4 linked regions of the Stegostoma tigrinum genome follow. The protein of the gene in region 4 interacts with the protein of the main gene of each other region in a pairwise test. Links are inferred from orthologs where the notes say so. Each region holds a gene or a part of one and is shown on either strand. Other genes may lie near its edges. The genes, in order: gnao1a, guanine nucleotide-binding protein G(i) subunit alpha-2, gnaz and regulator of G-protein signaling 20.

Region 1 (7,916 bases), on a different chromosome or scaffold from region 4:
CACAATCAGAAAATAAACGCTGCATGAATTCTGAACTTATTTAAAGGCATACCTAGAATATTCTGTCTAATTCCAGTGCAAGGGAAAGACCAATTTTCTACTGAAAATAATTGGGATAATTTCAGGACTTCTGGTTCCAAGTTTTGAAAGGTGGTCCATAGAACAGAAATTACTTCAATCAAAGAAAAGATTGAGGGGTGATGTGATCTAGGTTTTTGACATTTTAAAAGGCATAAAAATATGGATTAAAGCATTTTTCATTCAATTTAAAATGATTATAGAATTGTATTATTCCCTGGAATGGAACAAAATTGCACCTGAAATAGTTATGACGTGTCCCTGTCATGTCAGGGCACTGTTTGTTGATGGCTCATTTCTGAGCTGTTTTCTGTCCAGTTAATTTTTGTCAGTGATGGTTTGCCATTGCCTTCCGGTCTCAGGGGCAAGGCAAGGAGGCAGGTCCAGGTCTACCTCAGCCATCTAGCCAACAGAGTTAACCAGCCTCCTAAAACTCTGTCCACTTGACTGTTAAAACGTGTTGGATAAAAAAACCATTATACAATGGAACAGCAGAGAAATGGCCAGATGGCACACCAATGGCTATTAGGCTCAGCCACTGAAAATTTTAAAAATGGTGATTTATGAACATTTCTAGACTTATCACTAGATTGACTTCAATGAGCCTAAGGATTTTTTTGGGCTGAAGAGAAACATCAAATGCTTTAAAGATAATAAAGGAAAAATACTGCAGATATATCTTCAAACATTTAACTTTGCTAATTGGCAGAAGAGAATCAAAACTAACAGGCCTTTTAAGATTATATAAAACATACAGCACAGCATTAGGCCATTTGATCCAATATGTTCATGCTCCATATCAATCCCCTACCTTATTTTATCTAACCCTTATATTTTGTATAGCTTCCCTTCAATAAATCTGTGCTATTCGCTCCAATCACTCTACATAGTCGCAAGTTCCACATTCTGAATAGAGGTAAGCTAGTGATGATGGTAGTTGACATGATCTTGACAAGGGTATAGAAACAGAATATACGTTTCTGCAGGAAATACAAAACATGGGAGTGAACTTAACTGTGTAAAAGAATAGCAGAAGCTCCAGGAGTCTTTAGTCAAGCTGGTCGATTTGGTAGATGAAGTTTAATATGAGAAAATACAGGGTGTTATATTGAGAGACAATGAAAAAGACAGAACATGTAAACTAAAAGGTTAAGCTTTAAAGGAAGTTAGAGTAAAGAGACATGGGCACCTTTTAAAAAATAGGAACACAGATTAAATACTGGACATCCTAATCCTTGTAATTAGAGGGCAGAAATCAAAAGCAACCCTCTAAAAATGATCAGTTAAACTACAAGTGAAATGTTGTCAAGTTTTGGCTGTCTTGACCATGAAGGAAGAATAGAAGAAATATAATAGGATACACCACGGGAGAAAGGTTTACATTTTCAAATCAGCCTGTTCAGAGATGTTATTACACACTTAGGGAACAAGTGGGACATGAGCTGGCTCAGAAGTAGGGGCACTACCACTGTAATGCAAGAGGAACACCTATTATGAGGAGGGGCTAAATAAGATGCTAGTTAAACCAAAGGTCAGGTAGACATCTGATAAAGATACTCAAGTTAGTGAGAAGTTTTGATTAGATAACTATTCACACTATTCGGCAAGTTGGTAGTGATAAATTTAAAGTTCATCATCAAAATAATGGATGGTGAGTTTAAAAGAGTTTATGTTTCTAGAAAGTATGTCTCACCAGAATGTTTGGAAACCAAATCCATTTCCTTTAATAAAAAGAGGTGATTGGTGATAATTCTTTGAAAGAACAAATTATTAAAGGCTATAAAGAAATGGCAACAAAATGAGGCTCAGTGAACAGCTGGATTGGACACCAAGGATTCACTGGCTTTCTTCAGTCTGATTTTTTTTAACCATTCTGTAATTTCAGGAATGCTGAGTACTTTGAAAATTTTGTACTTTTCAAGAGACTGATAGAAATTTCACATGCTTTTTAATCTTTCTGGACGTTGTCTCAATGGATTCTCCTGTCCCTTGGAAATTAAAGCTTAATTTGTCTCACTTGACTTCGAATGTCACCATTTTCTTACATCTATGTGCAATGGACTTCATTTGGCTGGTTTGTAACCCCATCTACTCTACTGATGACTGTTCCTTATGGGATATTCATTGCATCACCACTATTCTGCACTCCACAGTTTAACAAAAGCAAAATACTGCAGATGCTGGAAAACTGAAATGAAAGCAGAAAATTCTGGAGTATCAATCCCCTACCTTAGGTCAGCTGGTCTGGCAGCATTGGTGGACAGAGAAATCAAGTTAATGTTTCATGGAGTCGTACAGAACAGAAACAGGCTGTTCAGTCCAAGTAGTCAATGGCGACCTTAATACAAAACTAGACAAGTCCCACCAGCCTGCACTTGGTCCATATCCCTCCAAACATTTCTTCTTTTTTTCTTCATTCATTCACAGGATGAGGGAGTGACTCATTGGACAGCATTTATTGCCCATCCTTAATTTCCCAGACGGCAGTTAAGAGTCAACCACATTGCTGTGGGCCTGGAGTCACATGTAGGCCAGACCAGTCCAGGATGGCGGTTTCCTTTCCTAAAAGGCATTAGTGAACCACATGGTCAATCAACAATGGATTCCTGGTCATCATTAGATTGTTAATTCCAAATATTTATTGAATATAAATTCCACCATCTACCATGGCAGGATTTGAACCCTGGACCCCAGAACATTATCTGGATTAACAGTCCCGCTATAATAACACTGGGCCATCACCTCCCCTATTCACATACTTACCGAAATGTCTTTTAAATGTAGTAACTGTGCCCACATCCACCACTTTCTGTAGATGTTCATTCCACACATGAACCACTCTCTGCGTAAAAAAGTTGTCCCTCATGTCTTTTTGGAATCTTTCTCCTCTCAGCTTAAAAATATGTCCACTCATCTTGAAATCCCTCACCTCTGGGGGAAAGACACCTGCCATTCACCTTATTTATACCCCTCATGATTTTACAAATCTTTAAAACAATTCCTCAACCTCCTACACTCACATGAAAAAAGTCTTGCTCCTATCCAGCCTCTCCTTATAACTCAAACACCTAATTCCTGACAACATCCTGGTTAATCTTTTCTGAGCCCTCTGCAGCATAATAGTACCCTACCTACAGAAGAACGACCAGAACTGGACACAGTACTCCAGAAGAGGACTCACTAATGTCCTGTACAACCTCAATGTGCAAGTCCAGTATAACTCTTCTTCCATTGTGGACTTGAAATGTTAACTCAGGTTCTCTCTCCACAGGCGCTGCCAAACCTACTGAGTTCCTCCAGCACTTTCTGACTTCCCCAGTATAACATTGGCTTTCCATTGCATATTCCCTGATATCTCTGGTCTTTTGTAACAGTTTCCCTAATTGTTGCTTTTGGTTCTGATAAATGTTTATGGCAGGAACTAATATCAGCTCATGAGAGTTATTGTATTTTTATTACGTATTAATATTACTTTGACAACTAATCAATGACAAATTCATCCAGCTCCTGACCTCCGGGCCCTGCATTCTCCTACTGCCTTTTGCAGTTGGGGCCGCAGTTACGGCTCGGTTTTTAATTGGTGGCGGCGCATTCATGGTCCACCAGCCGTGGTTATACAACATACATTGGAATGCGCCAAAGGCGCTTTATTAACGAATTTTTTTTCGTATAAGCAGTAAATCTCAGCAGGACTCAAGTAATGCTGATGCAGTCCTGGTCTTTCTGGAACAGCGTTTTCCTTCCCACTTTGTCCTGGAAAGTTCCCAATTGAACACTCCTTGCCCCCTTCCACGTCTGATGCTTATAAGCCAGTTCACATATTTTGCCATTCTTTCTTGTTTTAGGAAACGTTTAGCAACACATAATCCTCCTAATGGATAACGGATGATCGGATGTGCTACAGCACAGATGTTAGGAGGGAGTGATTGTTTTGGGGAGTGGATTGATCCAGATGTGACTGTGTCAGAAATAGGCTGTTTGCCCGTCATATACAATCCGGGAGGTAAACGGTTTGGACAACTGGGATGACTAGGAGTAGAGGTTTTGTTGGGGGTGGGGGCCTTGGGAAACAGGTGTGTGAATGAACAGCTTTGGATCTCGCTGGGTTCGGAGCTCCGTTGACACCGGGCTGTGCGGACCCCCACCTCCACTGCCTGGGCAGTGGAAAGACGGCTGGGTTTACTCAGTGTTTGCATTGCCAGCAATTGCTGGAGAATTTTAGAGACACAAAAAAATGCACATGATGCCGGCGCTTCTTCTATGATTTGACACCGCCGCCCCCCCCCCCCCCAACGCCCCTAAAACCCGTCCCCTTTCCACTCTGTCAATGCGTCTGACTTTTGGAGCAGCGGTTCCCAGGTGGTCAGGTCCTGTAATAAGTGTTTCAGTGCCCTAATTGCGAGTTATTCTGTGGTCAAATCCGTTTAACAGCGTGACACGATGGATGTGATCAGTTTATAGTGCCCACTGTAATCTGCTGATGCAATAAACTCTCTGTCTCTCTCTCTCGCGCCCCCCCCCCCCCCCGTCCTATAACATTTGGATCGCGGGTCCCCGTTTGCCGTGAATACATGCAGCTTACAGTGCATATGAAACGTGTGAAAGTGTTTCAGGAATAGCTTGTGCACAGGGTGCTTGCATTGGGCCTGTCTTTTGCATTGCAATGCTATTTCATTTATTTGTGCAAATGCACGGATTGCATTCGCTCCTGCATTTTGGGGGTGGGGTTGGAAAGAGAGATTGCAGGATTTTGTTTTGTGGTAGCTGATGTGGATAGGAGTGGCCGACCCTCTCCTCCCTGTGTATGTGTGTGTAGGGAAGGTGCAGTCAGCAGTGGTGAATGCTGCTCGATTGGCGCAGGCTCACAGTCTGTTTGACGTCAGTGTGGAGTTGGGGCTGGCGCACTCTGTCTCTCCCTCCATTGTGAGCAGATCAACGATGCGATCGGCCTGAATCTCTGCTGCTACTGCTGCCGCTGCCGCCGCCCAGTCCAACAGCCGGCCAGAGCCCCCTTGTCCCTCCCCCCTCTCTCTCTCTCTCTCTCTCACTCCCCTCCCTGGTGAGACCTGCAACAACAACCGTCAAATCCTCCCTCCATCCCTTCCACAGTGTCACACTCACTCTTCTCCTGCTGCCCACCCAGACGGTGAAGGTAAAAGAAAACCAGCCCGCCGGTCCCCCCTCCGCCTCCCAGTCCAACTCCACACCCACGGGCTTTGGATGTGCGATTAAAAATCCCCGGCGTCTCCAACCGAGGGTTCAGTCCCAGAGAGCGAGCGAGTGAGTTGAGTTGACAAGGCCAGAGCTTGAGCTACTTTCCAGCACCAACCATGGGATGTACAATGAGCGCCGAGGAGAGGGCAGCCATGGAGCGGAGCAAAGCCATCGAGAAAACCATCAAGGAGGATGGCATTAGCGCCGCCAAGGATGTCAAGCTGCTGCTTCTCGGTAAGAGCCCGGTCTCTCTCTCTCCCCCTTCCCTTCCTCTGCCCCTGGCTGCCTCGTCAGGTGGATTGGAGGCTCCCCCTCAGCCGGCTGGTCATCCCGCTGCCCCGCTCCTCCACCCCACCCCCCGCTGCTTTCATCTCTTCACATCTTTTCCCCTCCCCAACCCTACTTTCTTTCACGTTTTCTCCCTTTTTTTCTCTCATTTTCCCACAGGGGCGGGAGAATCGGGGAAAAGCACCATCGTAAAGCAAATGAAGTAAGTGTTATTTTTTCTTTTTTAAAAAATTAACATTCAGTTTCTATTGATTTTAATAACGCATTTCTCTCCCTAAGCCTCATTTTAAGTCGAGACTGTACCTTGAGGTTAGATGTATATTGATGACAGGAGACCGCCATATTTATAGTGCTATAGTCTCAAGCCTCCTATCTCCAACATATTGATGGTTCTGGTGGAAGGATTGTCACTCTTTCCAACATATGCAGTCTGGTTATTCGGATTATATTTTTCGGGGTGGGGGTGGTCTTTATTTTCATGAATATCTCTGTTTCTTTGGAAAAGGGGTGTGGGTCAGATCTATTTGTGCTGGGGTGCTTGTCACCACGGGAGCAGCTGAGACTTCGCTTCGGAGGAGGGGCGCGGGTATGCATGTGTGTCTTAGCGGGTGGTGAGGAGAGAGAGAAAATCATCGTCAGCTACCAATTAACCTTTAATGCCAAGCTTTCATCTTTCAACATTTTTTTCTGTCATGTTTGATCGATTGAAACCGGCTGCGAGGCCAGTTATGTGGGATTTTTTTAAAATTACATTTTAAATGTGGATGTAAACAGATGGACAGCAGGTTGAACACTTGCCATTTCAAGGTTCTCTTCACCGAGATCTACCGATTCACTGTTATAAATAATCAGTCAGAATTCACTAGGGGGTCTCAGTAACTAGCGATCTTCTCATTGCTTGAGATTACCTGGATCGCACAGCGATTTGGTCCCACCCTTCCATATTTCATCCCCTGTGCTTTTTTCTTGAAGACAGTATGGCATGCTCACAATTTGAAGGGAAAAGGAAATGTATTTTAATGATAGCACATGTACAAACAAGTTGTCACTGTGCAAGGATGATTCCAGCCTCTCTGTTGATCTGTTATACTGACCAATGTCTTTCTGTCATGTACATGAGTGTTCTGTGTGTAATTCACTATAAAAAAAAGTTGTTAGGCACTGAAAATGACCAGCAACTAACAGTATGTTGGCCTTTACCTCAGGGATTCTGGAATACAAAAGCAAGGATACAAAGTTCTGAGCATGTTATATACTGAACAAAGCCTTGGAGAGATCCCATTTGGTGTGCTGTGTTCGATTCCAGCCATTCCCATTCTGGATTGAAGATAATGTAGTGTATATTTACCAGAATGGAACTGAGGCTTAAAGAGTTAACATATAAGGACAGGTTGCATAAACTTGGCTTGTGTTCCCTCGAGTTTAGATGGTTGAATGGTCTGATTGAGATGTTTAAAATAACAAAAAGGTAGGTACGAAGGAGCTATTCCCTTGGGTAAGGTAATGTAAAACAAGAGGGCACAGTTTTAGAATTATGTAAGGGCTTTTCTGAATTGAAATCAAGAACCACCTTTTCATGTAAAGAGTAATCCAGAGCACCCTTCCCCAAACAGCTGTAAATTCTCAGACAGTCAAAATTTTCAAGACTGTATTTGGAAGGCTGGCATTGGGCAATGGGATGCAAATGTAGATCAAAGGCTGATAAATGAAGCTGGGGATTAGATGATTGCATGGCAGAAAATGCTTCAGAATTTGGGTCTGCTTTTGCTGTCATCCATGACTGATGCAGCCTGCATATTATAGCTCGTGTTTGTGTATTTTTTTTTGTTACTACATATGTATTGACTTAGAGTAGAATACCACAGGTACATTGGATTATTTCTATGTATCATAACCCAGATCAACCAATTTCATATGTAACTGGTTGGATATGTGAACCAGAGTCTATCAAAGTCAAGTTTGTCATCCAAAAGTGAAGGTGCTCCAGCTTGGATCTGCATCTTTGTGTTGAGCTTTAGATTGGTTCAATGTGGTTGGCTTCTGATGCAAGTTTGGTTTGTGAAGTCTGAGTTTGAATCGGTGCAGAGTTGGTGAATTGGGCCTGAGCTGGTATCATACAGTATGGGTTGTGGGAGTTCTGGTTGGTGTTGGTATAAAATGACCTGGGTCTGTTTTCCAACCCAGGCTGGTGCATTTTGAATCAAGATTCAGGTTTTTAGCCTCGAGTGCACTCACACCTTCAACATCATCAGTATATACCCCTGCATCCAATCGTTCACCTCCTGCAACCTTTGTCCATGTCATTGTTGCTATGACAATCTTTCCTGGCCCACCTT
Region 2 (6,989 bases), on a different chromosome or scaffold from region 4:
TTTGAGCTGTGGGAGGAACTGGAGCACCCAGAGGAAATCACACAGACACCAGAGGAATGTGAAAACTCCACACAAACAGTCACCCAAGAGTGGAATCAAACTTGGGCCCCTGGTGCTGTGAAGCAGCAGTGCTAACCGCTGAACCACTGTGTCACCCCCACTTAATGTAATGAAATCATGGCACATGACAGATACATTATAAAACAAAATATGATCTTCAGGGAAGGAAATCTAATGTCCTTACCTAGTCTCACTTACATGTAACAGTTGTCCCAGACATCCAATTGGTAGTTGGTCATTAAGGTGGACAAGGGGCAGCATGAAGGGACTGAATTTAGATTTTTAAGGTATTCATGTGGAAATGGAAAGAAAAGACTGTTGATGGCAGTTTTCTAGCTACAATTAGACAGATATGAATGGAATCTGTAATTTCAAATCCATGAGATCAATATGCTTGGGTTTAGTGAGGGTATGTCCAAAATCAACAAAATGAAAATAAAGGTAAAAAATTTCAGTGTAGATGGAAAGTTATAGAGTCATAGTTATAGAGCATGGAGACAGACCCTTCAGTCCACCCAGTCCATGCTGACTATATTCCTAGGGCGGCATGGTGGCTCAGTAGTTAGCATTTGCAGCCTCACAGTGCCAGGGACCCAGGTTTGATTCCAGCCTTGGGTAACTGTCTGTGCGGAGTTTGCACATCCTCCCTGTGCCTGCGTGGGTTTCCTCCAGGTGCTCCAGTTTCCTCCCATAGTCCAAAGATGTGCTGGCTAGGTGGATCAGCTATGCTAAATTGCCCATAGTGTTCAGGGACTTGTGGGTTATAGCGTGATGCGTCTGGGTGGGATGCTCCAAGGGGTGGTGTGGGCTTGTTGGGCCAAAGGGCCCGTTTCCACACTGTAGGTAATCTAATCTAAATTAAACTATCCTACCTGCCTGACCGTGGCCCATATCCCTCCTAACCTTTCCTATTCATGAACATATCCAAATGATTTTTAAACATTGTAACTGCATCCATTTCTCTGCTTGTTCATTTTACATACAAACCACTCTTTGTATAAAAAGCAGCGAGCTCTTCCAATGCTCGAGATAACATTCATCAATCAAAACCCCCCGTTTGAAAACAAATGAATTGTTGCTTACAAGACTTTGCTATTGCAAACAACATGCTTTATTTGACCATTAAGTTCAAAAATCGTTTCATTGACTTTGAAGAACTTTGGGCTATTCTGGGGCTGTGTGCGAAACTGATGAAAAAGAATTAATAAAGTATACGGTGCTCTCAGCTTTCTTAAAAAGGCATAGAGTACAAAAACAAAGAGGTGATGTTGAAGAGAGATAACAAAGTGTGGAGCTGGATGAACACAGCAGGCCAAGCAGCATCTTAGGAGCACAAAAGCTGACATTTTGGGCCTGGACTCTTCATCAGAAAAGGGGAATGGGGAGAGGATTCTGAAATAAATAGGGAGAGAGGGGGAGGCGGACTGAAGATGGATGGAGGAGAAGATAGGTGGAGAGAAGGTAGGGAGGGGATAGGTCAGACTGGAGAGGACGCACAGATCATGGGGGCGGGATGAGGTTAGTAGGTAGGAAATGCAGGTGCGGCTTCAGGTGGGAGGAGGGGATAGGTGAGCAGAAGAACAGGTTAGGGAGGCGGTGACGAGCTGGGCTGGTTTTGGGATGCAGTGGGGGGAGGGGAGATTTTGAAGCTGGTGAAATCCACATTGATACCATTGGGCTGCAGGGTTCCCAAGCAGAATATGAGTTGCTGTTCCTGCAACCTACGGGTGGTATCATTACGGCACAGCAGGAGGCGCAGGATGGACATGTCGTCTAAGGAATGGGAGGGGGAGTTAAAATGGTTCGCGACTGTGAGGTGCAGTTGTTTATTGTGAACCGAGCATAGGTGTTCTGCAAAGCGGTCCCCAAGCCTCCGCTTGATTTCAGCGTAGAGAAAGCCAGAACGGGAACAGCAAATGCAGTATACCACATTGGCAGATGTGCAGGTGAACATCTGCTTGATGTGGAAAGTCATCTTGGGGCCTGGGATAGGGGTGAGGGAGGAGGTGTCGGGGCAAGTGTGGCACTTCCTGCAGTTGCAGGGGAAAGTGCCGGGTGTGGTGGGGTTGGAGGGGAGTGTGGAGCGGACAAGGCAGTCACGGAGAGAGTGGTCTCTCCGGAAGGGTGGGGATGGAAAAATGTCTTCAGTGGTGGGGTCGGATTGTAGATGGCGGAAGTGTCAGAGGATGATATGTTGTATCTGGAGGTTGGTGGGGTGGTATGTGAGGACAATGGGGATTCTCTTTTGGCGGTTGTTGCAGGGGCAGGATGTGAGGGATGAGTTGCGGGAAATGCGGGAGACACGGTTGAGTGCGTTCTCGACCACCGTGGGGGGAAGTTGCGGTCCTTGAAGAATGAGAACATCTGGAATGTACGGGAGTTGAATGCCTCATCCTGGGAGCAGATGCGGCGGAGGCAAAGGAATTCGGAATAGGGGATGGAATTTTTGCAGGAAGGTGGATGGGAGGAGGTGTATTCCAGGTACCCGTGCGAGTCGGTGGGCTTGAAAAGGACATCAGTTTCTAGGTCGTTGCCTGAGGTGGAGACAGAGAGGTCCAAGAAGGTGAGTGATGTATTGGAGATGGTCCAGGTGAACTTAAGGTCGGGGTAGAAGGTGTTGGTGAAGTGGATGAACTGTTCGAGCCCCCTTTGTCTGTAGGAAGTGGGAGGAATGGAAAGAGTTGTTGAGGGTGAGGCGACCTCAGCTAGAGTATTATGCACACTTGTGGATGTCACTTTATAGGAAAGATGTAAATACATTGGAGAGAATGCATTAGTGATTTACAAGAATGGTGCCAGGAATGAGAAACTTGAGTTACCAGACAGATTGAAGAAGTTAGGAATGTTCTCCATGGAGACAACTTTTCATACAGCAAATAGTTAAGTATGGACTGCGCTGTCTGGAAATGTGGTAGAGGCAGGTTCATTTGAAGAATTCAGGAAGGTATTGGATGATTATTTGGATAGAAATGGTGTGCAGGAATAAGGGGGAAAATTAGCAGATTAGCACTAGGTAATAGAAACAGAGCAGGCATGGTGGGCCGAATGGTCTGATTCTACACTTGAACAATTCTGTGAAGCTCACTTTGTAAGTGCAAGTTCTTCTTAAGCAAATCGTCACCTTCTTAATTCATTTCAACGCAGCTTGTTCTTTCTCGGCAGAAGCGACCATCATCTTTATTGCTTATAAACATAAATGTAACAGTTGTCCCGGACGTCCATTCGGTAGTTGGTCTTTTAAACGTTTTTATTTTGTTTTTATATAATCCAAGAGAAAGTCATCAGTAGTTGGTTACATTTCAAACGGGTGACGATTGCGTGTACTTTTTCCTGAATAGACATGTCAGTGCCTGTATTGTGGTGCTTCTGTACTGTTTCCATCCGTGTGATTCCTGGGTTATTTTTGCTAAATTTAACACAGCCGGTGAACTCGGGATTGGTTCATTCTTGGGGATTTCGTCTCCTTCCGGCCGTCAGAACCCTGTTGGTGTAGCAACAAGTCACTCGAATAGCTGCAGAATAAATAACATTGTGTCACTGAAGAGAAAGGGTAATGAATGCTAAACACTGTAAAACACGAAAAGTGAAACGAGGGTTGAGCAGCGTGCACAGAATTTTAAGCAAAATGATGTATTTACTGTCGGAATCAACAGCAGGCAGTGAAACAATTAGCGGATGCTACTTGTCTTTTGAAAACTATAATAGAAATACCAGATTTCCAGCGACATTAACCAGTATTTGCAGCAAAAACGCTGCTGTCAATCATGTTACCTGGGAGGCGTTGCAGGGGCGAGAGGTATGCGGGGGATTGTAGTTCCCCGGCCCCGTGTGAAACTGGTTGGGTGTGGAAGTAAGGAACTACATTTCCCGTTCAGCATCGCGGCGAGCTCACGCCTTGTGCCTGTGCCATCCGGGTGCCTGTGCGCTCTGAGCCGGGCTGGGGTGTGGTGGAGTGGCAGAGTGCTACGGGCACGCAGCTCTTCCCCGCAGTCACAGGGGCTTAGTGAATTGCTGAGTGCAAACAAAAAAAAATCATCAGCCACCCGAGCCGGAATCTAAATCTCTTCAATACGCTTCTTTTTGCATTCCAACTCAGCCTAAACAAAACAACGTCCTATATATCTGCATAAAGTTTCTTTTGGCGACGTCGTCTGGACCTTTCTCTAGAGGACTTAGAAGCTGAAATTTGAAAGGAGGGTGAGAACTTCTTTGTCGAACATCCACACACAACAAAAAGAGAATTGAATCGACTTCAACTGACAATGGGTTGTACCATCAGCGCTGAGGACAAGGCGGCTGCCGAGCGATCGAAAATGATTGATAAGAATCTCCGGGAGGACGGAGAGAAAGCGGCTCGAGAAGTGAAGTTGTTACTTTTGGGTAAGTTGGGTCTCAGTTTGTATGTTTCTGTCTATTGGTCTATATGTGTACTCCTCGGGCTGGGTTATATTAACGTTACACTTTAACCACAGCGAGAGAAGGGAGTGCGAGTGAAGGATTGAAGTGTGAACGCTCTGTAACTTTTTCACAGTCAAAATGACAAACTGAGTGGAACAGACCGCGATTTATTGTGTGTTTAATCTCTTCCCTGAACAAAACGCTCTTACTTCCTTCGAAGGGAGTAGGAGGAAAGGGTGACAAAAATAACGGAAGTTGCATGAAGCAAGGTATTTTCAACAGCAGGCCCTACTTGAACATTTAGAAGGAGAATATTGTAGATGAAGTTGAATAGCTTGTTTCCAAGGAATGCATTTGGCCGTTCCTGTATTTAATGTCTCAAATTGTACTCCGGCACCTCAATGATAATGCTCCCAAGCGTTCTTGATTATTGGGGTTGATTTAAATTAACTCTTTCCCCCCCCCCCCCATGAAATTGGAGACATTGCTTCCTGCATGCACTTTAAAACAATCGTAGCAATGCCTTTCTTTTTGAAGAGAAATCCGTCTTTTAAAGTAAATGAAGGGTCGTTTTAATTCTTCTAATATTTGTTCAATTCCACAATTTTCCCACCGAATTTGAGTGATTTCAACAGAGAATGAACTCTCGAGATGCGCAGATGTCGTCAGGGTTTAGATGACAATCTCTGCTGCAATTTTTTTTTCTCTTTTGTGAACTTCGACGATGAGTTCGAGCCTATTGACGTAGGGTTCAGACGGAAAAAGGGAAGGAAGGGCTGTGGAGAAGAATTGAGGGAAGGCAGGGCCCCACATCTGCATACAACCCAAGAGCAGCCTCCGCCTGTACCGTTGTCCTGTGTGTAGGATCAATCGGAGAGATCACAGTGTTTAGAACAGGGAAGGAGGGGACAGGGATCCGCTGGGAATGATAGTTAGCGGCTGACCGTGATTAATAAGCATCTCTCCAGCTTATTCACAACTGCAGGCTGCCTGCAGTGCCCTGTTGCTTTCGCCTGCTTATTTAATTGCACATCCAGCAAAATTAATGCTATACATGTCCCCAATTACACGGGGACAAAAACACATCGAAAAGTGATGCCGTCGGCCAGAGAGGTATGCTTGTTAAAGGATTATATAACCGCAAAGTGCAGGCTTTCATACCATGAAGCGCGCGGGACAGTGAAACCGTTCATTTCAGTGGCTTGCAATTACATAGCGCCTGCAATATAAACTTAGGCGGCATCAGCAACGGAGGAAGAATAAACGCATAAGTAGTCTCCAGCCAAGATAACCTTTTGAAATGGAGGCTGCTCAGAGGTTTGTGGAAGCCTGGACATGATTTTGGGAGGTTACACTCTTCCAGGCTTGAATCTAAACATTAACTCAAGGATCCTTTGGGCTTTCTAACAGAAACAGATCATGGAGCTTTAATTACTCAGACTTTGAGAAAAATACGCCTTTTGGGTGTGGAACCAGCTTCAGAGGATGAGGTGACATTTGTGGTGTTGTAGCATTCTGTATAATTTCCTGTTGTGAACAATTTATCTGGTCGTGTTTGCATTCACTGTTGTCACAAAAAAGTAAGAAAAAGCCTGAGATGTGAGGAATGAACAATTGATGCTATATGAGGGATGAAGACTTGTTATTCCCATGTAAGGACTCTCCTATGCTGTATTGTTCTAAAATATTTTCAATTTTGAATACAGCAGTGCAAAATGTATTTTGCTATTGCCTTGAAAAATGAGACCAAATGAGATTGAAGTGCAAAGGAATTCAGGGGTACGCATCACAAATATGCATAAAGCAGCAAAGTCATTTAAACAAAAAAGTGGCTATCATTTTTGGAGAAGTAGAATTCAAAGGTATGCATATTCTGGTCTCCAGAATACAAAAATGATCGAGATGTACACTGGTAAAATTTCGTCAGGACTAACGATCCCTGAGAAGAGATCATGAGCAGCAATGATGGAGTAGCCTGGACTTCTGCACTGAAAAATAGAAATGTGAGACGACCATAAATAAAATTTATGAAGGGTTATGTTAAAGTTGACATAAACATATTTTCCATTGTGGGTGAGTCCAAAATTAGTGGCTGTAGATATAAAATGGTCACTAAAAATACCATTGAGGAATTGAGGAGAAACAACTTCGCCAAAGGAGTGGTTAGAATTTGGAACCTGTGAGAGAAATTTAATAGAGTCGGATGAGATAATGTAAAGTAGGAGAAAGCTTGTGTGGAGCATAAACACCAACATGGACCTGTTGGGACAAGTGACCTATTTTTGTCATATACTGTATAATCCTATGTAGGTCATGGGTTTGATATTGAACTCCTGTGATGAAAAGTTCATAAGGCAATTAGGAACAATACTTTCTGAATGAATTCTTGATTAGAATTTTTGGTGCGTAATGAGTAAATGTGCTTTGAGATAAATAATGGTTAAAAGGAATTTGGAAGTGTGCTTATTAAAAATAAAAGGAACGTAACCTTGTGATTCTGCATTTTAACTCACTACATACCTGCTGAGTGA
Region 3 (6,997 bases), on a different chromosome or scaffold from region 4:
CCAGTTTTATCAGAACTGCTACTAAACTGGCTGAGATTGGCTAAACTAGCACATATTAGGGCTGATGCTAGAGCCCTCCCAGCTTTCATACTCAGCTCCTTCAGAGTGAATGTGCTGAGCCACAGCCTTTTACAGATTTATAATCTGAGTTTTCAATATGTGAAAATTAGATCTGGAGGAGCTGTAGGATCAATGTGAATTAATATGCCACTTCATAATGGTAATGATTACATGCCTGGTAATAAAACCTAACTGCTCTACATTTGTGGCATGCCACTTGTGCCAGGATTCTTTCTGGTGTTTTGATTTGCAATTGGAAAATGTTCTACAAAAATTTTGCCATTACACTGTTTACCTGGAGGGAGGACCAGGACAGTGGGGCATGGGAGGCCAGAGGTCAATTAGGAATCTTACTACTATATAAATATCAGTTTTAATTGTTGGTTATAAATTTCATCAGGGGATTTTAGTTGTCTTGGTAGGGTTAATGTCGTGGCCACTATTAATAACACTCGCTTAGCTGGTGTAGTGAATCCAGTGTTCTTGTTGGGATCTAAAGAAGAGTTATATTGGACTCAAAATGTTAACTCTGTTTCTCTGTCTACAGATGCTGCTAGTCCAGTTGTGTTTCTCCAGCAATTACTGTTTTTATTTCAGATTTCCAACATCTACCTTTGACATCTTGGTTCATTGTGTGACAACAGGACTGAACGCATTTCATTTTTTATCAGATTACTTGGTTCTTTCCGCATAAATTTTTTATCATATTCTGAATCATTTCACACCCCTTTTCATTCTCAAAGAATTATGTTTAACTGAGAATTCTCATGAACAGTAACAAAGCCCTCCATTCAAAATTAATTGGAGAAAAATGAGCAAAATATATGTAGACTTGTCCTTATAATTTCTTTCTCACCTTCATGCCCTTTTTAATGCAGAAAGGTCTAATCACTTTAGCAACCTTTCTCAGATAATTAAATGGGAGCTTTACTGCTTTCACCATTTAAAAAAATGCATCTTTTATAAGAGGGACATTGGATTTTAATTGCATGCCTGTGCAAATGTTCATCGGCGATTCTGTCTTTTATTTTAATATTTTCTCTATTTGATCCACCCCATGCTGAGCCTCCTGTTTTTACAGTTTTGTGACTAAAGATGTCAGAAGCATAGTTGTTTTGTGACAGGCATTTCAAGGGTGGATCCATAGTAAAGCACAAGAAAACACGTTTACGGTTAAAACCATCATTTTCCACCTTTTCCCAATAATTGAAGTGCTGTGTTGACATGAAACACACCCTTTGCAGTACAGTAACATGAATAAAATTTGATCAACCGCCTGGGTGATGGACTAAAGTATCAAACACACCTAGGACATGAAGTCATGTTATCCAAGATGCAAAATGTTTGCAAAAACAGCTTAATTATTGGGACACAGCGTAAACTATTGACCCACAAGATAGAATACCTGTTACTTTGCATTCCCTTTCAAATCCTGATTTCAGAAATTCTCTGTGAATAGCAAATACGTCTTAGGTTAACATTTTTTAGCAGCAGAACACAGTTCGGACAGCATGAAGAGATGTTAGGAAAACCTGTTCCATCCTTCATAGCTTGCTTGTTGACAGCAGTTGTGCCCGTGCAACGGTCACACGCTGTCTTGCTTTTCCAATTGCAGGCACAATTCTTGCAAGCAGAGATGCTGAAAATAGGTTCATATAAAGTGGGAAGTTTGATTTTAATCCCTAAAATGGTTACCATCTTATTCAGCCTTCAGGTGGGATCTGGCAGTGTTTCAAGAGCATCTGTGACTGGAACCACAATCTGGATCCCTGCCTCAGTAGGTTGTCCAACCACTGAAGGGATGAACTTGACCTGTTTCTGTACAAGCTACACTCAATATGTACCTATTGAAATTCTGACATTGAATCTTACAAGAAAGCAGGCAAAAAAGAACCTCAATTCAGATACCTTGTAGATGACATCATTATAATAAATGAAACAGGAGCTGACTACTGGACGCTCACAGGCAGTACAAAATAGCATACATTTCCCTGGGGTCTTCTTTTCCTTCGGTCTGTCATATCTGAAATGGCATTGGGAAGCCGACATACTCTGCAGGTTAGAAATGCTATCAACAATATTCAGTAAAATGTAGCAGAAAGCTAATATTTTTATTTCTTATTATTTTGTCAAAGACATTTTTTCTACAAGAGAAACACCCTTGAGACTGTTGAAATTTTTTTAGATTAGTAAATGAAACCATTGGTTATAAAAAACATCGCCAAAAATTTCAGAATTGTTAGAGTGATATTTTGTTATTCATAAGTGCATGGCACTGCAGTCCAAGGGTCCTTGAATGGTATTGATATCCAGATCAATTTCCTTCATCCTTACTTCCAATCCATTCAACACTTTTTCTAACACTCTACTGCAAATTATTTATGGGAAATGATGGCAGCAAGCCAAGTTTCACAGAGCAGTAGATGGACCAAAAAAAAATCCTTTATTTGAAAATATAGCAAACCCACAAGAGAGCTCAGCAAGAGAGTGACTGTATTGAGCAAAAGACAGGAGAGCTCCACTTACCCCTGCGTGCTTCAGCAATCAGCTTCTTGTCATGACGGGCTGTTTTGTGTACACACAATGTTAAGAGTGCCTCCCTGTCCTTCACGGCAGCATCAGTGCCTGCCGGGGGAGGAAGCCAGGATCACTGCAGTACTATGTCGAAGACAGATGCCAGCAGCTTGCAGCACTCTTCCTTTTCCCCTGCTTCCTCCAGAATGTGTATGGGTGTGATTTGATTAGAGTGCAGTGATCAAGCTGTCGTGTGTGTGTGTATGTGTGTGTGTGAAAGGCGGGTTGGGGGGCTGGTTCTTGAAGGGGGAGTGGGTAGGTCCACGCCAACACCAGACACAGAGCCAATATTCCTTTTGACAGGAAGGCTTGAGCAGCTCTTACTGAAACCCACTCAACGGCAGCTACAGTAGCACAGCTGATCTGTTTGAGGTGCGCGCTAACAGAAAATCACAATGTCCCCCGATTGGCTGCCAGTGGAGGATGCTGTCTGGATTGCCACTACTGCTGGCAAATCATTTGCTTGCTGCCTGCTCCATAGCTGTTCAGGGAAAAGGGAAGTATTTGGAAATGAAGACTACAATCAATTATTATTTCTATCCTTAGTTAATAAGACACCCGCACCAACAAAAATATCTCATATATATAAATCCCTTTGATTATTAAAAGTAACAATGAGTAAAATAGCGTTAGAACTCATCTTGTCCAAGTATTGTTAGCTTTTTGTCTGGGTGGTGCAGTGTATGCTAGCATCCTCACATGCTGTGAGCAGGATTGACATTCTAGTAAAGCAGAGAAACACAAAGCTGTGCCTGTTAGAAACATAATACCAGCACGAGGGATCTTTATCCCAATCATTCTGCTGTTCGGCCTTGCTCTGTACTGTTGATTCATAATAGAATGCTCCAGTAATGTTTTATATTGCTGAAGGATATCTGTGAGATTTCTGGCTGATGCCCCAAATGGCTGAATTGCAAAGATGATGAGAAAATGTTCTGCTCAGTAGCACCCCTTTTATAAATCAAACAGTGACCCAAAATTGCTGTTGATATAATTTTCTTTTTGTCTTGCGAACAGCACTGATCCTAACTATAACACAGTCAGAACCTCCATTTAAGCTTCGGCAGGCTGTGCAAATTTATTCAGCTCTTGCATGCCCTTAGGCTCAGTATCTTCCCTGAGTCTTGTTATTGCCTTTGTGCGCTGTGCCACTGCTGTATGTGGGTCTCTTTCAATCTCCCACTAATTGTTTCCATTAAGGGAACCCTGGAGAAACAACAACAACTTGCATTTATCTGGTGCTGTTAACATGGTTAAAGGTCCCAAGGCATTTCATAGGAGCATTATCAAGCAAAATTTGACATTGAACCACATAGTTATGGTGGATCCAAGACAACAAAATGTGAGGCTGGATGAACACAGCAGGCCCAGCAGCATCTCAGGAGCACAAAAGCTGACGTTTCGGGCCTAGACCCTTCATCAGAGAGCTCTCTGATGAAGGGTCTAGGCCCGAAACGTCAGCTTTTGTGCTCCTGAGATGTTTCTGGGCCTGCTGTGTTCATCCAGCCTCACATTTTGTTGTCTTGAATTCTCCAGCATCTGCAGTTCCCATTATCACTAGTTATGGTGGATATCTGTTTAGAACAACTTATGCTGTTGCTCCAGAGAATTGAACAGCTTCCTGCTGAAACTACAGTGGGAAATCAAAAGACGGAAGCACAAAACAAAATTGGAAGATTACAAAGATCTTCAAGTATTGTAGAGCTGCTGGAGACTGTTGGACAGTGGGAGGGCAAGGCCAAAGAGGGATTCAGAAATAAGGATGAGAATTTTAAAATTTTGGCATTGTTGAACTGGGAACTCATACAGATCAGAGAACATGTGGCATGATAGGTGAAAGGGAATTGGTGCAAGTTAGGGCAACAGAATTTTGCAATAGGTCAAATTTGTTTGCTTTGAAAGATGGGAGGTTGGCCAGGAAAACATTCGAATCATCCAATCTGAAGTTAACAAAAGTATGAATGAGGGTTTCAGCAACAATTAAGTTGAGGCAGGGGTGATGCAGGTCATGATAGAAATGAAATAGGTGATCTTGATGATGGAGTAAATATGTATTTGGAAGCACTGTGCTAGTTTATTGCAGCACAAAGTGTGTGAAGTTTGTTTCAGCCTTAGATATTTGTTGAAGAAAGGGATGGCCCACCTGGTGCCCTATCGTGGAAAGGGCACTACCATGGGTACCTCATATAGAAACCTGAAGCATCAGGTCTGGTTGGATCACCATGTTAAAAATGGCTGTAGAAACTGACCTGACACTTACTTCAAAATCTGGATTGTGCAAGTCCAGTGTAAGAATGTGATAAGCAGTACAGCTGAACGTCCTGTTAGGGTGAAGGGCAAGGTTGGCGGGCGTTGGGAATGTCAAGAATGACTGGAGAAATTGAAGTTTTGGCCAAGAAAAGAAAGGAAGCATATCTCAGTATAGACAGCAAGGATCGAATGAAGCTCTAGAAGAGTATAAAGGTAGCAGGAGTATACTTAAGAGGGAAATGAGGAGTGCAAAATAGGGACATGAAATAGCTTTGGCAAATAGCCTTAAGGAGAGTTCAAAGGGATTCTGCAAATATATTAAGGACAAAATAGTAACCAGAGAGAGAATAGGGCTCCTTAAAAATCAGTAAGACCACCTATGTGTGGAACCACAGGAGATGGGGGAGATACTGATACAGTATTTTGCATCAGTGTTTACTGTCGAGAAGGATATGGAAGATAGAGAATGTGGAGAAATAAATAGTGACGTCTTGAAAAATGTCCATATTACAGAGGAGGAGATACTGAATGTCGTATAATGCATAAAGGTGGACAAATCCCTAGAACCTGATTGGGTGTACCTGAGAACTCTGTGGAAAGCTAGGGAAGAGGTTGCTGGGCTCCTTGCTGAGACATTTATATCATCAATAGCCACAGGTGCGGTGTTGAAAGACTGGAGGCCATGCCACTATTTAAGAAAGGTGGTAAGGAAAACCCAGGGAACTATAGACCGGTGAGCCTGACATCAGTGGTGGGCATGTTGTTGGAGAGAATCTTGACGGACAGGGTTTATGTGTATTTGGGAAGGCAGGGACTGATTAGGGATAGTCAACATGGCTTTGTGCATGGGGAGTCGGAATCATATCTCACTAACAAGATGGAGTTTTTGAAGAAGTAACAAAGAGGATTGATGAGTGCAGAGCTGTGGATGTGATCTATATGGTCTTCAGTAAGGTGTTCAAAAGGGTTCTTCATAATAGACTAGTTAGCAAGGTCAGATCACACAGAATACAGGGAGAACCAGCTATTTGGATACAGAACTGGCTCAAAGGTAGAAGATAGAGGATGGTGGTGGAGAGTTACTTTTCAGACCGGAGGCCTATAACCAGCGGTGTGCCACAAGGATTGGTGCTGGGTCCACTGCTTTTTATAATTTACATAAACGATTTGGATGCAAACATAAGAGGTAAATAAGTTTGCAGATGACACTAAAATTGGAGGTGTAGTGGACAGCGACAAAGGTTACTCCAGTACAATGGGATCTTAACTAGATGGGCCAATGGGCCAAGGAGTGACAGATAGAGTTTAATTGAGATAAATGTGAGGTGCTGCATTTTGGGAAGGCAAATCAGGGCAGTACTTATACACATAATTGTAAGGTCCTGTGGAGTGTTGCCAAAGAAAGAGGCCATTAAGTGCAGGTTCTAGCTTCTTGAAAGTGGAGTGGCAGGTGTTTGGTATGTTTTCCTTTATTGGTCAGTGCATTGAGTATAGGAGTTGGGAAGTCATGATGCAGCTGTATAGGACATTGGTTCAGCCAATTTTGGGGTATTGCATTCAGTTCTGATCTCCCTGCTATAGGAAGGATGTTGTGAAACTGGAAAGGGTGCAGAAAAGATTTACAAAGATGCTGCCAGGGTTGGAGAGTTTGAGCTATATGAAGAGGCTGAATAGGCTGGGGCTATTTTCCCTGGAGCATTTGAGGCTGAGGGGTGACCATATATAGGTCTTTCAAACCATGAGTGGTATGGATAGGGTAAATAGGCAAGGTCTTTTCCCCAGGACTGGGGGAGTCCAAAACTAGAGGGGAATACATTTGAGTTGAGAGGGCTAAGATATAAAAGGGACCTAAGGGACAACTTTTTCATGCAGAGGGTAGTGCATGTATGAAATGAGCTGCCAGAGGAAGTGGTGGATGCTGATACAATTACAGCATTTAAAAGGCATCTGGATGGGTATATGAATTGGAAGGGTTTGGAGGGTTATGGGCCAAATGCTGGCAAAAGGGACTAGATTTATACAGGATATCTGGTGGGCATGGACAAGTTGAACCAAAGGGTCTGATTCAGTGCTGTATATCTCTGTGACTGTATGACCCTATGACACATCAGTT
Region 4 (7,530 bases):
GCACTGCTTTTCATCATTTATATAAATTATTTAGATGTGAAAATAGGAGGTATGTTTAGTAAATTTGCAGATGGTACCAAAATAGGTGGTATAGTGGACAGTAAAGAAGATTTTCTCAGAGTATGATGGGACCTTGACCAGATGGGCCAATGTGCCGAAGGGTAGCAGATAGAGTTTAATTTAGATAAATGTGAGGTGTTGCATTTTGCTAAGGCAAATCAACACAGGACTTATACAGTTAATGATAGAGTCTTGGAGAGTGCTGCTGAACAAAAAGACCTGGGCTACACATTCATACTTCCATGAAAGTTGGATGACAGGTAGGCAGGGTGGTGAAGAAGGCATTTGGCATGCTTGCCTTCATTGGTCAGTGAGTATAAGAGCTGGAATGTCTTGTTGCACAGTGTCATGTGAGGCACAGAACATTGGTGAGGCCACCTATGGAATACTGTGTACAATTTTGGTTGCCCTTCTGTAGGAAGGACACTGTAGGAAACTTGAGATGGTGCGGCAAAGATTTACAAGGATGTTACCAGGGCTGGACGGTTTGAGCCATAGGGAGAGGCTGAATAGGCTGGGGCTTTTTTTTCCCTGGAGTGTTGGAGACTGATGAGTGACATTATAGAGGTTTATAATATCGTAGGGTGAATAACCAATGTCTTTTTCCTTGGTAGGGGAGTCCAAAACTAGAGGGACACAGGTTTAATTTGAGAGGGGAAACATTCAAACGGATCTGAGGGGTAACCTTTTCACACAGAAGGTGGTGGATCTATGGAATGAGCTGACAGAGGAAGTGGTGGAGGCTGGTACAATCACAAGATTTAAAAGGCATCTGGATGGTTATGTGAATAGGAAGGGATTAGAGGAATATGGGCCAAATGTTAGCAAATGGGACTAGGTCAAATGTGCAGATGTGTTGGACCGAAGGGTCTGTGTCTGCATTGTATGACAGTATGATTTTGTCTCGAGCTGGTTTACAGCCAATGATGTACTTCTGAAATGAATTCACTGTTCTAATGTAGGAAACATTGTGCACTACAATTGTCTCGTGGATTTTCAGAAGCTTAGCTAAAGTTGAAGCCCCGGAACTGAAGGCAAGATTATTGACTTGTAGAGGAAATTGACTGTTTGGCAGGAGACAGGGGGTAGGGATAATTGAACAACTAATCTAATTAGCAGGATGTAAACTAGTCATGTCTGTAAGGATCCATATTGTTCTCTTGACTATTCACTATTTATTAACAATTCAGATGAAGGGATAGAATGCCACATAATAAGTTTAACAATGACAAAATGATAGGCAGTTAGGCAGAATATAATTATAGACATATTGATAACTTAAGGGAACGGAAAAATCTGTGGCAAACGAATTTCAATATAAACAAACATGTTGTCATCTACGTTGGACCTAATGAGAATAGAATATTTTCTGAATAAGGAAATAATTAAAATTGTGGAGTTCAATGATACTTGGAGGTCCAGGTACGTAGATCACTGAAGCATTACAAAAAGCTACAGAAATGATCAATTTTAGTTTATAAAATGATAGTCTTTATATTGCAAAAACTACAAAACAAGTGAGGTAGAATCTACATAAATATACAAAGCCCTGGTTAGACCACACCTGGAGTACTATAAGAAGTTGCAGCCCAACATATCTTAGGAAGGATATATTGGTCATGGTGGGAGTGCAGTGTATTTTTACCAGAATGCTGTCTGGCTTCAAAGGATTATGGGAAGAGATTACACAAACCAGGTTGCAAGTCCGAGAGTTTATAAGATTGAGCTCTAAAATGATTAGGTCAGTGTTTTCACAATATTAAGGGAACGAATAAATTAGGTAGAGAAAATTTATCCCTGCATCATGGCCAGCCCAGGATTTAAAAAGTAGAATTAGTCTGTTCAGGAGTAAAATTACGAAACACTTCATGGGGAGAAATTTGGAAGTTTACTCTTAAACAATAATTAATTGTATATCAGTTTTTAACTTTAATCAGTGATTTATCGTGTTGTTTTATCTAAATATCTGACAGAATATAATAACACGGATATTGGTCAAAGATTAAGGTCGTAGATCAGCAATAATCTCACGACAGACCTGGTATAGGGGCTAATCTTGTTTTTAATGTTTTAATCTCTTCCCGTCCAGAAGGAGAACACTCCCACCCATGCTAGCATTACTCCCTCTCCTCCAAATACACACGCTGATACATCAATTTGTTCACACCCACATATATGCACTCTCCTCCACCCCCGAACATATCCCCTTACATCCCAACCACACCAAGTCACCTCCCTTAGCAACACACGCCCTCACATACTACCCCTCACTCCCAAATCCGTCTCCCTACCATACACACAGATGCATGCTCCCCCACTTCCCACCCCCTTCATACACACGCACACACACATCTAACTGGTAAACAACGTAGTAGTTTTGGAAAATTTGAAATTATCACTGGTTAATTGGCGCAGAATTTACCAGCGGTGTTTGGCGCCACCTTCTGAGATCAAAAAAAGCACTTCCTTGGCGAGTCGGAAAATAAGAAAGCGTTTTCTGGCCATGAGGTAATGATAATTTGCACATTTGCTAGGTGAATCTGAAATTTACTTCAGATATTTAGTGTCCAATGATAGGATGTAGGAACGACTCCGATGAATTGAAACATATAAAACGTTATTTGCGAACGCGGACTGTTATGAACTTTCCGTGAAATGTTAGAACAATACACACATGTATAAATAGTGGGCAGCCTTTTATAAATGGTCCAATTTCTATGCGATTTTACACCTTAACTTTACAAAGACAATACAAATTGAAGTGTAAAATTCTTGTCGATCTAAATACCAATTCATTAAAACTTATATTTAGCGTGATGGCTAGTGTCTAACTGCAGATATTTGCCAGTACTGTCAACTGTAACGATTGGAAGAACTCAGATATACGATTTAAGACGATAAACGCTAAGTAAAATCGGAGTGAGTCATCTTTCTGGAATTGTTGAAACATGCAGAGATAATTCGGGGATCACACTTTATTGTTTGTTCTTGTACAGCATTAAATTTTGACGGTAGATCAGCTTTTTTAACTCGAAAGATGATGACTCGTAGTCACTCCCTGGGACTCAGCGTCAAGTTGATGGTAATTTGAGACTGTTTAACTAACATAGCCTGGTCTTGGAGTCATCTTTTCATTTCAACATGAACGCACGGAATGATACAAAGTATATCGTTGTGTCCCTGTAATATTGAAATTAAGTGTTGGGAAAGTGCGGCGCATGCAGATGAGATAACCACATTGAAATTGCATTGCAGGGTACGGTTGAGTTCTCCTTGCAAGGATCAATTCGAGTCAGCACACACACACATAAAAATACTGTGACGATTGGGGGGGCTAGCTCATCAGGGCGCAATGGATATAATATGCTATAATCCAATCTGAAGTCTAGGCTAGGCTCTGCAGGATCTTCTCAGGAGTAGAGAGTCATAATTCTCCCTATCAAACCATCCTGTCTGGATATTAACATTCACTTCACACTACGTTCTGACATGCTGGGGAACCCTCTACAATAAACTTGGGAACTGTAAATGCATCGTTAATTATACCGCTAGCTGGCAGGTTTGTAAATTGTTGGATAGACTCTTTAGTCCTTTATCGATCCAGTTGTAATAGCTCTGACATTTTTAGAACTGCTAATATTTCTGTTCAAATGAAAGGGAGCACATGGGTAAATAAATACCAAGACGCAAAGAAGGGAAATCTATACTTGTCGATTTGTATATTTTCAAACATGTCAATTTGGTATTTAAAACATCGTCTTTATTTCTGATGAGCTTTTTGTTCGTTAAAGTCTTTAGATATTAAAGACATCGAGGGGCAAGGAAATATTGGAATTATAACGTTGAGATGGCGGGTTAGCCACGATCATATAGAATGAAGAAGCAGGTTCGAAAGGCCGAATTCCTATTTTGTCTGTTTCTTACTGTGTATCTCTGGATTCCCATACCAAAGAATCTGAGTGAAGCTGTTGTTCTCTGGACTTCATTGGTCAGCATCATTTACTAAACTGAACATATTTTGCCTCCACTCAGTTCAGAGATAACGCATCGTCCACCAGGGATACAATGTCCCCTTCTCTGAAATGAGGAGCTCCACAAAATCCTATTATCTCCTTCCCTTAACCCACTCAGTTCAGAGATAACGCATCGTCCACCAGGGATACAATGTCCCCTTCTCTGAAATGAGGAGCTCCACAAAATCCTATTATCTCCTTCCCTTAATCTCTGAAAGCACTGGAACAGAGCAGTGGGCATTCCCTGTCCTATTTGAGGACTCTTTTCTAACGCGCCCAGCAGTGAGTGTGGAACGCCGGCTCGTTGCAGTGCTGCTGGCAGAAGGTGTGAGACAGGTTGCTGAGACAGGAACGGAGACCCTGGGGGAAGCTTGTTTGAGCATCAGCTTGTCGTCTGAGGCTCCTTGACGTAGCAGCGAAAACTGCTCGCCAAGTCAATCGGCCGGGACGCGCATGCGCAGCCCACCTCTTGCCAGCCGCCCTGGGTGTCGATCTGCCTTTAAAAAAAACGGATGTGCTTGAGAAAACGATACAGTAACACGCCGAATTTTAATGAAAAACTGTAAGTAATATCCTCATGTTTGATTGCTGACTTTTGTCCTTTCTTTAAAAAAAAGTAGCAGCTTCCTACCCAGTGAGTGGGGCAGTCAATTTAAATGGTAAAGCTGTAAAATGTATTTTTACCATATCCTACAATTTGACAAGCCTTCCTTTTGTAATAGTGCAGCTTTCTGTGCACAGCGTTTCAGGCAAATCTTAAATCATTAGAGGTATCTGTCTGTGTGGCGGTTTTATTAAAAAAAGAGAGAAATCGGAATATCCCCATGGAAACACGAGGGGTCTGGTGCATTTATTATCCACTGATGCTTTGTTGATGATTTTAGCTGTCAGTGAAGATTTCTTGTACAGCGTAAAATGCAAAACGATCTCTTCCCGTCGTTGCTGCATTCCCATGAGCAGTATATGTTGTGGGTTTAAAGTCGCGACCATTTGCCAATTTTTCTTAACAAACACACAGTTAAAAGAAAAAGCTGAACTGGTGACTCGGATCCGGCTCCGTGCTCTGACAGCGCGTTATGTCTGGAGGGAGAGACGGACGCGCAGGATTGGAAGAAGTTGCGGCACTTTTGATGTGCCAACCTTTCCCCAGTTGGCTCCTGCCTTTTGCCACCTGTAGCTGCTGCAGGATTCCGGCCTCAGCCCGCGCCACGCTCTGGCACCACTTGCATTGCTTTGCATTGCCTTCGCAGCTTCAGCGTCCCCGTCTTCACCGGGCTACCCAACATGTCCACTGGTATCATTTTACTCAAGCTCTCGAGTCGGAAGTATCTTTCTCGCCGTCCAAATTGCTCGCTGCTTTCACGTTCTGATTTTACCTCCCAGACCTTCAGTTTATTGCCTCCCTGTTTGATACAGTACACACCCGAAATTGAAGTCCGTACGTGCATATCTCTTTTTTCTTGAAAAAAGGATGCGGGTGAGGCAATTTCGGGGGTGGAGCCGATAGATTTGGGTGATTTTCTTTAAAACAAAAGAGTGGGGACACGATCAAAATGATTGGTGCCTGGTAGGTGTGGAAATGCGAGCAGCTACATTGAGACAAGAGGGAGGGAATATTGCAGATCTCCACTCCGATTTTGTAAAGTGCCAAACACTTTCGCCATCCTACAGATTGTTGTCGCTATACATGTAAATCCAGTTGTTTCTTGATGCATAAACTTGTTAAGCATTCATCTGAGAATATGGAAATAAATGCAGTTTGAAAATCCGCTGTATTCAGTTTTGCTGATGAATAGGTTACCTGGTGTATTGTTCCTAGACCAAGCTCAATTGGTCCTTGAAGGGATTTGTCACTTGTGTCGTGTGTGTTGTGATAGATAGATGCAGTCACTTCTTAAATGAACGGAAACCATGTATTGGTCTGTGCACATGTATGTAGAGGCATGACATTGTAGGCAACACTCCCCCTGCTCACGATGTGGTGGGGCTGGAGAAGTGATAGCCAGAACACAGCTACATTATTTACTGGTATCCAACGAAAGTCCCATGACCATAAATACAGTCAAGGGTGGGTAATTAAAAGTGCTGTGGTATGATTTGAATTTGTTGACTGTGCAAAGCCAATGATTTAGTCTGCAATATGGTAATGATACAAACATTTTCTCTAAAATGTTTTTGTCACTTGCATCTAAAAAAATATATATTTTGTGAACAAAGCTGATGGGGAACCAATCTCACATGGTCAGCTTGGTCAACTCTCAAAAATATATTGCAGCACTGGGGTGGAACATCATCATGATGAAAGAAGCACAAAATTTCTATCTCACTGCACTTGAAATAATAGTGTAATGAATTCAACATGATCTTGAATTTTTAAGAAGGCTTTTCTTCTTTGTACTTCTGGCCTTTTACTTCCTGTTGAATATCTGTACTCATTTGAAGCAATGAGTTGTAAATCTGATAAGCTTCAAAAACCACAGAGTCACTACTTTAATAAAATACATTACTTCTTATTTGGACACAAAATTGTCCATAGTGGGTACTGTGTGTATGCTTAGGTTGGACCATTTAAAGTGGAGAATAAAATTTAGATTTATGCTTCATACATTTGCATCGTGGGAAAATTGCATCTGTACAACATTATCATCAATAATAAATCATTTGTACAGTTTATTCAATGAGTTAATGTTATGTTTTATTGCATAATACATTTGTTGCATGTTAGGATCTTGATCAGATGGGTCAGTGGGCTGAGGAGTGGTAGATGGAGTTTAATTTAGATAAATGTGAGATGCTGTGTTTTGGAATGGCAATCAGGCAGGACCTATACACTTAACAGTAAGGTCCTGGGGAGAGGAGACCTTGGAATGCAGGTTCATCTTTCCTTGAAATTGGATTCACAGATAGATAGAATAGTGAATAAGGCATGTGGTGTGCTTTCCTTTACCGGTCAATACATTGAATATAGGAGATGGGCGGTCATATTGACATTGTACAGGGCATTGATTAGGTCACTTTTTGGTGTATTGTGTGCAATTCTGGTCTCTCTCTTTATAGGAAGGATGTTTTGAAACTTGAAAGATTTCAGAAAAGATTTACAAGGATGTTGCCAGTGTCGGAGGGTTTGAGCTATAGGGAAAGGCTGAATAGGCTGGGGCTATTTTCCCTCGACCATCAGGGGTTAAGGGTTGACATTATAGAGACTTATAAAATCATGACAGCATGGACAGGGCAAATGAACAAGGTCTTTTCCCCAGAGTAGGGAAGTCCAAAACTAGAGGGCATAGACTTAAGGTGAGAGGGGAAAGATATAAAAGCAACCTGAGGGACAACATTTTCACACAGAGGCTGGTGAGTGTATGGAATGAACTGCCAGAGGAAGTGGTGGAGGCTGGTATGATTACAACACTTAACAGGTTTTTGGATGGATATATGAGTGGGTAGGGATTAGATGGAT

What was found.
Region 1: the proteins of regulator of G-protein signaling 20 (region 4) and gnao1a interact in a two-hybrid assay, tested with the Homo sapiens proteins (2 studies listed by BioGRID). The link is inferred for Stegostoma tigrinum from reciprocal best matches to the Homo sapiens genes RGS19 and GNAO1.
Region 2: the proteins of regulator of G-protein signaling 20 (region 4) and guanine nucleotide-binding protein G(i) subunit alpha-2 interact in a two-hybrid assay, tested with the Homo sapiens proteins (2 studies listed by BioGRID and IntAct). The link is inferred for Stegostoma tigrinum from reciprocal best matches to the Homo sapiens genes RGS19 and GNAI2.
Region 3: the proteins of regulator of G-protein signaling 20 (region 4) and gnaz interact in a two-hybrid assay, tested with the Homo sapiens proteins (2 studies listed by BioGRID). The link is inferred for Stegostoma tigrinum from reciprocal best matches to the Homo sapiens genes RGS19 and GNAZ.

What each region holds. Positions count from the first base shown.
Region 1 is NC_081369.1:13,077,874-13,085,789, reverse strand, and holds the start of gnao1a (guanine nucleotide binding protein (G protein), alpha activating activity polypeptide O, a), read left to right. Parts: upstream 1-4,907; 5' UTR 4,908-5,408; coding exon 5,409-5,526; intron 5,527-5,739; coding exon 5,740-5,782; intron 5,783-7,916. UniProt on the Homo sapiens protein: Guanine nucleotide-binding proteins (G proteins) function as transducers downstream of G protein-coupled receptors (GPCRs) in numerous signaling cascades.
Region 2 is NC_081364.1:15,213,320-15,220,308, reverse strand, and holds the start of guanine nucleotide-binding protein G(i) subunit alpha-2, read left to right. Parts: upstream 1-3,979; 5' UTR 3,980-4,322; coding exon 4,323-4,440; intron 4,441-5,411; exon of another isoform or gene 5,412-5,571; intron 5,572-6,989. UniProt on the Homo sapiens protein: Guanine nucleotide-binding proteins (G proteins) are involved as modulators or transducers in various transmembrane signaling systems.
Region 3 is NC_081379.1:45,326,181-45,333,177, forward strand, and holds the start of gnaz (guanine nucleotide-binding protein G(z) subunit alpha), read right to left. Parts: upstream 3,001-6,997; 5' UTR 2,587-3,000; intron 1-2,586. UniProt on the Homo sapiens protein: Guanine nucleotide-binding proteins (G proteins) are involved as modulators or transducers in various transmembrane signaling systems.
Region 4 is NC_081372.1:27,678,443-27,685,972, reverse strand, and holds the start of regulator of G-protein signaling 20, read left to right. Parts: upstream 1-4,518; 5' UTR 4,519-4,585; coding exon of another isoform or gene 4,586-4,635; intron 4,636-7,530. UniProt on the Homo sapiens protein: Inhibits signal transduction by increasing the GTPase activity of G protein alpha subunits thereby driving them into their inactive GDP-bound form. Binds to G-alpha subfamily 1 members, with the order G(i)a3 > G(i)a1 > G(o)a >> G(z)a/G(i)a2.